Pelodiscus sinensis: one gene and its partners. The protein of the gene in region 2 purifies or fractionates together with the protein of the main gene of each other region. This does not show direct contact. Links are inferred from orthologs where the notes say so. Each region holds a gene or a part of one and is shown on either strand. Other genes may lie near its edges.

Region 1 (3,742 bases), on a different chromosome or scaffold from region 2:
CTGCCCAGCGCAGCCACAGCCGAGCCGCCACCAGACCCGCCGCACACCTTGCTGTAGAGCCCGGCCGCAGCCGCGTAGTCCCGGCCCTGGAAGCGCTGGGTCCCCTCCTGCTTGTAGAAGCGGGCGGCGCGTGGGTCCTTCCCGACCCCGACCCGGGCCGCCAGGCTCCGCAGCACCGCCTCGTCCGCTGGCCTGGGGGGCGGGAGAAGAGTCGGGTCGGGGGGGCCGGCGGGGGGGAGAGCGAGGGAGCGGGAGGAGGGGCCGCTCCCCGGGGCCGGCGGGGGGAGGGGGGGGCCGCTCCCCGGGGCCGGCGGGGGGAGGGGGGGGGCCGCTCCCCGGGGCCGGCGGGGGGAGGGGGGGGGCCGCTCCCCGGGGCCGGCGGGGGGAGGGGGGGGGCCGCTCCCCGGGGCCGGCGGGGGGAGGGGGGGGCCGCTCCCCGGGGCCGGCGGGGGGAGCGGGAGCGGGGGGGGCTGCTCCCCGGGGCCGGCGGGGGGAGCGGGGGGCCGGCGGGGGGAGGGGGGCTGCTCCCCGGGGCCGGCGGGGGGAGGGGGGGGCCGGCGGGGGGAGGGGGGCTGCTCCCCGGGGCCGGCGGGGGGGAGGGGGGGGCCGGCGGGGGGAGGGGGGCTGCTCCCCGGGGCCGGCGGGGGGAGGGGGGGCCGGCGGGGGGAGGGGGGCTGCTCCCCGGGGCCGGCGGGGGGAGGGGGGGCTGCTCCCCGGGGCCGGCGGGGGGAGGGGGGGCCGGCGGGGGGGAGGGGGGCTGCTCCCCGGGGCCGGCGGGGGGAGGGGGGGGCTGCTCCCCGGGGCCGGCGGGGGGGGGGAGCGGGGGGGGCGCTCCCCGGGGCCGGCGGGGGGAGCGGGGGGCTGCTCCCCGGGGCGCTCACCGCAGCAGGGGCGCGCAGAGCCGGAAGGTGTCCCGCAGCGGCGCGGCCTCGCACAGCGCCTCCCGCAGGGCCGGGGCCAGCGAGCCCCACCGCCCCCGAGCATGGGCCCGCCAGGCCTCCGCGGGCAGCTCCATGGGCGGCGCGAGGCTCCCCCGGCAGCTGCTGCAATGGCGGCGCCCGCACCCCAGAGGCTCCCTTCCGCCGTACGCGCGCCAGCCAATGGGGGAGCCGCGCGGCTGACGTGGTGCGTGCGGAGCGTGCGCGGTGACGCGGCGGCCGAGCGGGCTGCGGCGGGAGCATTTGGCGGCAGCGCGCGGAGCCGGAGCCTGTGGCGCAGCATGAGCGCGCGCCTGAGCGAAGGGGCCATCGCGGTGAGGGGGGGCTAGTGCGCGGGGCGGGGCGGGGCGAGGTTTCGGGGTGCCCGTGCAATGGGTGGGGGTTGCGGGGCCCCCCCCCGGGATGGGCGAGGGCGGGGCGCCCCCCCGGGATGGGCGGGGGCGGGGCGGGGTTGCGGGGGGCCCCCCCCCGGGATGGGCGGGGTTGCGGGCCCCCCCCCGGGATGGGCGGGGGCGGGGCGGGGTTGCGGGGGGCCCCCCCCCGGGATGGGCGGGGGTGCGGGGGGGCCCCCCCGGGATGGGCGGGGGTGCGGGGGGGCCCCCCCCCGGGATGGGCGGGGGTGCGGGCCGGCCCCCCCCCGGGATGGGCGGGGTTGCGGGCCCCCCCCGGGATGGGCGGGGTTGCGGGGGGGCCCCCCCCCCGGGATGGGCGGGGTTGCGGGGTGCACCATGCGCTGAGACGAGGGGGACAGTCCCCGGGCCGGTGTGGACTGGGGGAGTCCGTCCTGTTGGCCCCGTGGAGCGGGGAGGGGAGCGCAGGCTGCTGAGGACTGTGACTAATCTCCCCTCCCCCAGCTGTCTCCGGAGCACCCCGGGGGGGGGGCAATGTTGGGGTGTGCCAGAGAGAATTCTGAAGTCCTTGAATAAGTTACAGTCTGTAGGAAGTAGAACTACTTTCAGCATCTCCATAGACTGCCTGAAAGGGCTCAACAGGCTACTGTGTGAGAAATGATGAACTAGCAACTTGGCCTGTTACTTCCCATAAAGTCCAGGGATTTCTTAGGTGAAACACGTCTCTCAGCACATAGTCTTGCCCTTTTCCTTGTACCAGCAGTGTGATTCCTTCTACAGTGAACAGAACTTTTCAGGATGTTCACATTGCTGGCATACTATCTACGTTTGATTTAGCACTTTGGGAGCCGTTTATTATAATTAGTCTAGTTATTTATTTGCTAATCTCCCTGGTTACAAAGTTTAAAGAAAATCATTTCCAATCAAAAGGATTAAATCCTCTATCTTCCTTTACAGGCCATAATGCAGGGAGAGAATAATTTAAGACCTGTTCTCCAAGTCATTGTGAGTATTCCTTCAAATGTCCTCTTACTCGTGTGACCTGTAGCTTAATGTACTTGTAAGTGTATGTGCCGTTTTACAAATCCATAAAGACAAGGTACCTAACCTGGCAACCATTAAGTTTAACTGGTTAAATGATTTGACAGAAGTGGGTGAGCTGGAGAGGACCCTGCACTGTGGGCTGAGACTTCCAACCCCGCTCTTGGCTGTCAGCTCCCAATCTGGGCTCGCAGGCTGGGAATCTGCAGCATCACAAGGGGTGGAAGCAGCAGCCTTGTGCAGGGCTGGAAGTGGCAGGCTCCTTCCCCTCCCTCCCCACCACTTCTAGCTCCGTTTGAGCTGCCAAAGAAGTGAAAGTCTTGTAGGTGAGTAGACCAGTACTAGCAACTTGTACTTGAAAGGCTCATTGGCATGAATCTGCACAAGCATGTTTTAGTCAGTCTGAGAGAGGCTTTAATTGAATGTCATCTATCTTAGTTTTCTGTTTTATGAGTAAGCTCTCCAGAACAGGTGTCAGCTCTTCGTTGTTTCTAATGTATGCCTGTAAAATCAGATCAGGGCTAAGAATTCAAGTTTTTCCTTCTAGAACATCCGAGCCATCGCCACAGGAAATGGGCCACCTCGTTACCGTGTGCTGATGAGCGATGGGGTGAACACACTCTCCTGTAAGTTATGCATTGTCACAAGAATTTACAAGTACATGGCTAATAATTAGACCCAATGGTCAGAATTAATGACAGTGGTATTTGCTGCTGAACTGAGTTCCAGAATGTGAATGGTATAGAATTTATTTTGATGTTGGAATCTGTAACTGTATTTTATCTTATAAATAAACTCCAGCTTTTCTGAGTTGTTGCAGTGTGTCCAAGAATTTGTTTATTATAGAGAACAGCTCAATTCTATGGAATGGTGATTAGCGACTATCTTAATAATGGTGGTCTGGGTGGATTGATTTAAATCAAGGTGATTTGAGTCATGAATTTAAATCAAGTTATCAAAGAAGCTTAGATTTAATGTGCTTAGAGTGCACTTAATTTTGGAGTAAACCCCAAATTTTGGAGTAAGCCCGGATTGAACTCACTGGCCCCTCTGGGGTTCTCTTGGAAAAGATAAGTTATGCTGAAGAAAAATAGGTAATTATGATCTGGACCATGATGTTCCAAAATGAGAGGCATGTATTTTGTAATATCTGATAAGAAAATGACAGTCAGTGGCAACTGGCAACTCTAGATTTCTTTTACTGTAGCTTTCTATATTGTATACTTGAATGACAGATTCTAATCCTGGTTAACTAATTAAAAACAAGCTATAAGGATTAGCTAAGAGAATTTTTTTTTCAGCAAAATGTAATACAGCAAACAGCTTGGGAATTTACTTGTCAAATCACACACTAAAAGGCATAGAGTCTTGATGAATGATGTATTTCAAAGTGAATTATTTAAATTACTAACT
Region 2 (3,742 bases):
CAAGTCACCTCTTTATTAAGTTAAACAGATTGAGCTCTTTGAATCATTCCAAGGCATGATTTCCAATCCTTTCATCTCATGGGTCTTCTCTGAATCCTTTCCAGTTTTTCAACATCCATCTTGAACCACGCTGGTCACAGGGTGGAGGCAGAGTGGAGAAGGCTTTGCATGCTCCCTCACTCCCAGGTCCTAATTGGCCTGGGGGCAGGGAAAGCAGCTTTTGCCCACCTCTGCTACAGAGTATAGCATTGTGGATACCGGAAAGATCCTCAGAGGCTACAAATCAGTTACATCACCACATAACCCACCAAAATTGTTGCAAGTTGGCAAACTCAACAGCTTGACCTATACAACAACCCAGCTGGCAGCCTTCAGGAAATCGTCATTCAGCCCATCGGAACATCACATTGCCATAGAACCTTCAGAATTCCAGTATTCCGCATTGGCCCTTCCCATGATGCTCATGGAACTCCAGAACCCCAACATTCCAGTCTGCCTCCGCAAATTCCACTCATTGCCACCACATAAACCTGGGGCCCCAGCTTCCTCGTAACAGCCTATACCTCCCGAGGAATGTACCAGGATCCCAGAACCCACAGGAGCCCACTGCTCCATTCAGCAGCAAACATACATATTTGCAACGGACCTAGAGCCCTGATGTTCCACCCAGCAGGCTAAGGCCTACAACTCCCTGAACGTCCCAGCACGAAGAGCCACCTTCTCCACACACATTCCATCCAGCTAAGCCAGTGGAACATTGGTGGACCCAACATTCCATCTAGCCACTTCCACAGAACCCGTGGGTCCTCTGTGTTCTGTCTGGGAATCTTGGGAGTCCTCACATTCCACTTATCAGCGCCCTGGACACCCCCACCATCCCTTCTCAACTGCCCACAGAACGCTGGGTCCCCAGCAGAGGAAGGCGAAGCTGTGCGGACAGAAGAGCGGAGCGCTGTGATTGGCACGTGCGTACGGACAGTGAGAGCCCTGCGTTGATTGATCGCATACAGTAAGCGACGGGCCGACGCTCCTATGTTTGTGTTAGCTCATGAAGAGACGTAGGGCGACGTCATGATTGGCCAGCAACAGGCATGGGGCGGGATTTCCGCTGTTCTAGGATTAGCCGAGAGCCCTTCTTCAGGGGCAGGACTACCGGTTATCATGGAGGCGTTGATTGGTGTTCGAGGCGCCCTGAGGGCGGGGCTTCCGGCGGTGACTCGAGTATGATTGGTGGAGAGCGCCGAGTGGGCGGGGTCGGGAGGCGAGGGCAGCGGCGCTATAAGAGGCCGTTGGCGCGCAGTGGAGGCACTCGGGGGGTCTCTGTGGAGCGGCTGAGCGCGGCGACAGGATGTTCGAGGCGCGGCTGGTGCAGGGCTCGGTGCTGAAGCGGGTGCTGGAGGCGCTCAAGGACCTGATCACCGAGGCCTGCTGGGACCTGGGCTCGGGCGGCATCAGCCTGCAGAGCATGGACTCGTCGCACGTCTCGCTGGTGCAGCTCACGCTGCGCTCCGAGGGCTTCGACACCTACCGCTGCGACCGCAACATCGCCATGGGCGTCAACCTGGCCAGGTAGCGGGGCTGCGGCCCCTGAGGCGGGGCGCGCGCGGCATCCCCGCGCCCGGGGTGGCTCGAGCCCCTCCTGTCGGCCGCCAGTCTGGCGCCTTTTCTGTCGCGCGCGCGGGCTTGTCGGCGGAGGTGACGTCACTTCGGCGCTGGCGCGCTGCGCCCGGCCTCGCTGGCGGGAAAGTTGCACGTGGGGGAGGGGCGCTGAGGCTACGGGCCTGTGGCTAGTGGGGTCCGCCCCATGGCGCCCAGTTACGGCTTGTCAGCGTGCGCGCTCTCCTCCTCCCCCCCCCCCACCGCCGCGTCGTGGCCTGGGGGCGGGCAGGTTCAGCAGCACCTGGAGCTGTTCCTCTGCTCCCCTGTCACTCGCGCTCATCTCCCTTCCCAGGCTCGTGTGGAAATCCTGCACCGGGGGCCGCTGTGTGAAATGGGTGGCTGGGACGCAGCTCCCTGTATTGCAAATAAATCCCTTCAAATTCTTTCTTTCTTAGTATGTCCAAAATACTGAAGTGTGCTGGCAATGAAGACATAATCACGCTCAGAGCAGAGGACAATGCTGATACGCTGGCTCTGGTATTTGAGGCACCAAGTAAATATCTCAAACCCATTCTTTTTTATTAACATATTAATGCTACTGTAATTTACTTGAGATGGGAATGCCTGACAATTTCCCTTCATATGTTTCTCTCCTTGTCCAGATCTATTCTGCTCCCAATAATTTTCTGTTCATTGAACTTTTTGAAACTTGCCTCTTTTAGAGAGCGATAAGGGATTGACTCTGTGCTCACAGACTTGCAGAGGGACAATAGGGCTGCGGTCTGTTTTGTTTCATTTCTATATACTATTTATTTAAAAACATTCTTGCTGTGAACAAGTATGCTATCTCTGGAGATAAAGCCACAGTTTGAGAATTGCAAAACTAAGCATCTGGGATGGTATCTTCTAGACCAGGGATGGCCCATCATTTTTTATACAGGATTCATTCTAAGATTTTGGAAAGTGGTTGAGGGCTGCACTCTTCCATGGAGGAGGTGTGAGGTCTGGAATGGAGGTTGGGTGCAGAAGGGAGAATGCAGTCTGGGAGGGAGTTATGACCTAGGGAAGGAACTGGGGTATAGGATTTGGGGATATGACCTCATTGATTGTATGTTATCTTGCACTGGATGCTATCTTGCATTTAAGCTGTGACTTATAGACAGAGTGGCCACCAGGGCACCTGTGCTTTTTCCTCTTCTTTTGAAAACTGCCTCTTCCCTGTCTGTACACGCCTTTTTCTGGAGAGCTCGTTCAGAAAAAAGGCTTCTTGTGGAAAGAGGCTTTACCAATGTTGGAAAAACCCCTCCTGATCTCTTTTGAAAACACAATTGGTGTGTGGGTGCAAGTGAAGTTGGTTTTTTTTAAACTGCTGTTTTTCCGAAAAGACTATAGTGTAGACATAGCCTGGGAGAAGGGGGTATGGATGTATGTGGGATAGGTTCTGGCCAGGAGACTTACCAGTTAGCAGCCAAACAAGCCAGCCATGTGCCTGAGCGAGCAAGCAGGAAGGTAGCTGCCTGTTGTTCAAACAAGCAACTCCCGCTGGCCAGTTTCTCTCTAGAAACTGGCAAATAAGATTGTGCTGGGGGTGGGAGCAGCCTCTGAATCTTCCCTCCAGATGCAAAGAGGAAACACCCCACAGCTGTGTTTTCTGAGCAGCAAGCAAGAGAGCCTGCTTGGGGCTCCCCACCACCTCCATGGGCCAGATCTGGTGGCTTGGCGGGTTGTATTTTGCCCAGGCCTGTTCTAGACTGATCACTGAGTCCTATTGGGTAGATAGGAAGATAACCTAAAATCTATGCATACGTCTCTGGAACACCCTTAGATTGGGTCCCTAATTCAGGAACTATTGGAACTCATTTACAAAACTTTTCTTAACCATTACATTTATATATTCTCATACTATAATATTAAAATGTATAATCATTATTCCATGATGAGATCTTTGAGCTATAATGTATCTTAATTACAACTATCTCTAGATGGGTCTGTTCTTCAAAGCATTTTATCAAAGAAATTTGGTTTCAATCAGTAGATCAGGATCTATGGATAGATCTTGGAGCCTCTAACAGGTAATCCTGACTGGTTTGGCCAGGAAGCTATCAAGTACTGGCACTTTAGTTGCCCCTCCACCCACTGTCAC
Region 3 (3,742 bases), on a different chromosome or scaffold from region 2:
ACCTGGTATTGGCCAATGTGGGCAGACAGGATACTGGGCTAGAGGGACCTTTGGTCTGACCCAGGCTGGCTGTTCTTATGTTAAGTGAAGTAGCACAGGAGATCTGCTGACTGAATCCCGGAGCCGGGATGGCCCAGAAGGAAAGACGACCAGGCAGCGACGGGTCCAGGTGGCAAAGGAATTTGTGGCTCCCAAGAGGCTGAGAGAAGGAAGCAAAGTCTGCCCCCCCCCTCCCCGCCCCAAGGCAGCAGGGCCGAGCGACGCCTGCTTGCGATGCCAGAGGCTGGCACCGGGCGTAGCCCGCGCGTGTGTGTCCAGCCCAGTGGAGATCCACGACTGGGATTCCCAGGGGCTACGGCAATCGGTCCTCTCTTCCAGGCGGCGGGCGCCCCCAGAGGATAACAGTTCACTATTGCTGCCGGCAATGCGGCGGTCCGTGTCCCCGAGAGGGCTCAGGGTTCAAGCCCGGGGGGGGGGGGGGCGGGTTACACCAGACAGGCCGGTCCCCAGGAGGGTTTTGCTGCTGCCTTGGGGACCAGTGAGATGGGGGGGGGGGCGGAAGCACCTCCGAGCTGCCCACGACAGGCCTGGGGGGGGGGCTGGGCCCCTTCAGACCGAGCTCAGGCCCCGCGGGCGAGTCGGACCCTGCCCCCCCCAGGTCCCAGGGAGGGGGCTGCGCGGGGGGGGGCCCTTGAGGGACAGAGCGCACGGCCAGCGGCCCGGCTGGCAGCAGTGGTAGGGCCGTTACCCGGGCCCAGCGGGGGGGGCTCAGCCTCTGCCCCCCCCAGCCAAGGGACCCCCCCTCTAGGGGCACCCCCCCAGTTAGGGACCCTCCCCCCCGAGCCAGGGGACCCCCCCCCCGCCAGAACTCCCCCCCCCCCCGGGAGCGAGGGGGGAGGGGCCGGGGGGGGGGCTTCCCCAGGGCCCTTCCGGCCGGCCCGTCTCGCTGGTTCCGGTCCTCCGGCCCCGCCCCCGCCCGGGCCCCGCCGCCGACACCCGCGGCCCCGGCCCCGACGCTGCGCTGCCGCCTCGGGGTGAGTCCGCGCGGCCCCCCCCCCCCCACAGCTCCCCCCGCCCCGAGCCCCGCCCCCGAGACCCCCCCAGTGCACGCGGGGGGGGGGTCTCCCCTGGGATCCCCGGGGCCGCCCCGCCTCGTCCCCTCCCCCTCGGCACGTGGTGGGGGGGCCCTTTGCTCCCCGAGCCCCCCCCCCGCCCGGCGGGGCTGGACCTGCGCCCGCGTGGCCAGGTGGGGGGGGCTGTTATTGTAGGGTCGCCCCGGGGGGCGGGGCCGTGGTCGCTGCTGCAGGGGGCGGCGTGGAGGTCGTGGGGCGCTGGGCGTGTGTGGGGTCCCCCCGGGCTCGGCCTGCTGGAGCGTTGGGGGGCGCGGTGGAAGGGCCCCCCTTTATCCTGAGCCCCCTGCGGTGTCTGAGTGGGGGGGTCTGGCCGTGGGGTGCAGGGGGACCCCTGGGTCGTCCCTTCCCCCTCCGCCGGCGCCTGCCTAACCCGCCGCCCTTTCCCCCCGCAGCCGGCGCGGTGCCAGGATGGCGAAGGAGATGCGGGCGCAGTACGAGCCGGTGGCGGAAATCGGCGTCGGCGCCTACGGCACCGTCTACAAGGCCCGGGACCTGCAGAGTGGCAAGTTCGTGGCCCTCAAGAACGTGCGGGTGCAGACCAACGAGAACGGGCTGCCGCTGTCCACCGTGCGCGAGGTGGCGCTGCTCAAGCGCCTGGAGCACTTCGACCACCCCAACATCGTCCGGTGAGGGGCTGGGGGCGCCCTGCCCGCCGGGGAGCCAGCGGAGACCTGGGGGGGGGGAGAGGAATTTGCACGGGGTGACCGGTCACATGGGCCACTTAGCTTGCACTGACGGGCGTTCGTTTTGGGGGACCCAGCGCCCCCTTCCCGCTGGGCTGTGCGAGAAGGGGGCCCAGTATCCCATGGGGAGCTCCCTCGGGGTGGGTAGGATGGGAGAGGGGATTTGGGGGTGAGAGTGGGAGGGAGGGAGCGGGGACGGTGGTCTTCGATCCGGGGGGCTGTGTAGGAGCCCAGCTCTGCCTAGGGGGGGCCAGCTCTGCGGGGGGGGGGGGCCCTGCTTGTGACGCCGTTCACGGGACAGCACCCTGGCCTGCTCTCTGGTGCCTGGCTTCCTGGAGGAGCCGATCCCTGTTGCTCCTTTTTCCAGCTCTGGGAAACATGCGGCTTCCTTCCCCGCCAGCCAGGCTGCGACGGGACCAGGGAGGGAGAGCGGCCGGGCTGGGCCCTGCGAGGGCTGGCTGGCGGGTTTCCCCTGGCAGAGGATGTCAGTCCCCTCCCTTCCGAGGGGCCCGCCTGCGCCGGAGGGGGCGGGGGAGGCCCCAGAGCTGCTGGGAGCCTCCCCGGCCTTGGCCCCCGCCTTTGGGCCTGTTCCATGCGCCTCTCGCTGCCAGCCAGTTCCACCTCGCCGAGGGTCTGACGCCGGCTCTCCAGACGCGGGGGTGCAGGGGGGGAGGTCGCTGGTGGGTGGGGTCTCCATCCCCCTCCCCCCCCAGACACTCAGCGGTAAACAGCCATTTTAGGGGAGGTGCTAAAAATCCAGCCTCAGCAGCGGGCCCTTGGGGCAGAGGGTGGGGGCAGGGCAGGGCTGGGGAGGGCGTGCTTTGGGGGCCTGGAGGCAGGGGGTGCATCGGGGTTGGCAGGAGCTATTTAAGCGTTGTCCTGCTGCCTGGTGGCTTCCTATGGTGAGTGGGCCTAGTGCAGCCGCTCCCCTCCCGCCCCCGGGTTTTCCTCGGAGAGGGGGGCTCTGTTGCCTTCGGCGCGAGGGCTCCCCCGCAGAGGAGCCTGTGGGGCCGGCACGTTCTGCCGGCCCAGCCCTGAGCGACCCCACGAGACAGCCCGCCCCCTCCCCAGCTCTACAGACATTGCCCAGCCTGGCCGGGAGTCCCCTCGGGGGGCGCAGGGGGGGAAGGATCTGGTGTCCTGTGCTGATTAGTGGGGCCAGGGACGGGCTGATTGAATTAGCCCGCTGAGTCTGGAACGCCGTGGGGCTACCTGGCTGCAGCGTCTGCCGCTGCACAATCGGCTGCAGCTCCCTTGTTCTGGGCTTTGGTGCTGGGGGCTCAGGAAGTCTGGCCCCACATCACGAGCTTGGGACGCAGGAGGGGCCTGAGCCCTGTTCCATCCCTCTAGACAGGCCCTGGTCTGTCCCTCTGTTGAGCCAGATCTTGGGGTTCCTGGGAGGGGGGCGCCAGCTCCCTGCCTGGCCCCTCCCTTCCGCACTCGGGCCCCCGGCCCCCACCAACGCCCTGCTCTGCCGCCCGGCAGGTTGATGGACGTGTGCGCGACCGCCCGGGCGGAGCGGGAGACCAAGGTGACCCTGGTCTTCGAGCACGTGGACCAGGACCTGAAGACGTATCTGGACAAGGCGCCGGCCCCTGGCTTGCCAGCGGAGAAGATAAAGGTACGAGGGAAACTGAGGCCTGCCCCACGGCTCCCGCCCCAGGAATGTTGCAGAGAGCGGGGCTCTCACGACAGGGTTGGCCTCAGCGGCCGGGGAGGACTCTGCCCCCCCGAGGCTCCTTCCTGTTCTGTGGCCCCAAATCTGACCCTATTCCCCCCCCACCCCACCCCGCGTGGCCAGGAGCTGATGCGCCAGTTCCTGAGCGGCCTGGACTTCCTGCACTCGAATTGCATCGTGCATCGCGACCTGAAGCCGGAGAACATCCTGGTGACCAGCAGCGGGCAAGTGAAGCTGGCGGACTTCGG

Evidence for each region.
Region 1: the proteins of PCNA (region 2) and RPA1 purify together in Homo sapiens (affinity purification with western blotting; 7 studies listed by BioGRID, with this or other methods). This does not show direct contact. The link is inferred for Pelodiscus sinensis from reciprocal best matches to the Homo sapiens genes PCNA and RPA1.
Region 3: the proteins of PCNA (region 2) and CDK4 purify together in Homo sapiens (affinity purification with western blotting; 5 studies listed by BioGRID and IntAct, with this or other methods). This does not show direct contact. The link is inferred for Pelodiscus sinensis from reciprocal best matches to the Homo sapiens genes PCNA and CDK4.

The regions. Positions count from the first base shown.
Region 1 is NC_134731.1:875,213-878,954, reverse strand, and holds the start of RPA1 (replication protein A 70 kDa DNA-binding subunit), read left to right. Parts: upstream 1-1,015; 5' UTR 1,016-1,048; coding exon 1,049-1,252; intron 1,253-2,245; coding exon 2,246-2,293; intron 2,294-2,876; coding exon 2,877-2,955; intron 2,956-3,742. Other genes in the region: protein-lysine N-methyltransferase SMYD4, read right to left, coding at 48-192, 882-1,015. UniProt on the Homo sapiens protein: As part of the heterotrimeric replication protein A complex (RPA/RP-A), binds and stabilizes single-stranded DNA intermediates that form during DNA replication or upon DNA stress.
Region 2 is NC_134738.1:703,706-707,447, reverse strand, and holds the start of PCNA (proliferating cell nuclear antigen), read left to right. Parts: upstream 1-1,252; 5' UTR 1,253-1,348; coding exon 1,349-1,569; intron 1,570-2,054; coding exon 2,055-2,152; intron 2,153-3,742. UniProt on the Homo sapiens protein: Auxiliary protein of DNA polymerase delta and epsilon, is involved in the control of eukaryotic DNA replication by increasing the polymerase's processibility during elongation of the leading strand.
Region 3 is NC_134729.1:2,456,631-2,460,372, forward strand, and holds the start of CDK4 (cyclin-dependent kinase 4), read left to right. Parts: upstream 1-888; 5' UTR 889-1,034; intron 1,035-1,525; 5' UTR 1,526-1,541; coding exon 1,542-1,759; intron 1,760-3,301; coding exon 3,302-3,437; intron 3,438-3,617; coding exon 3,618-3,742.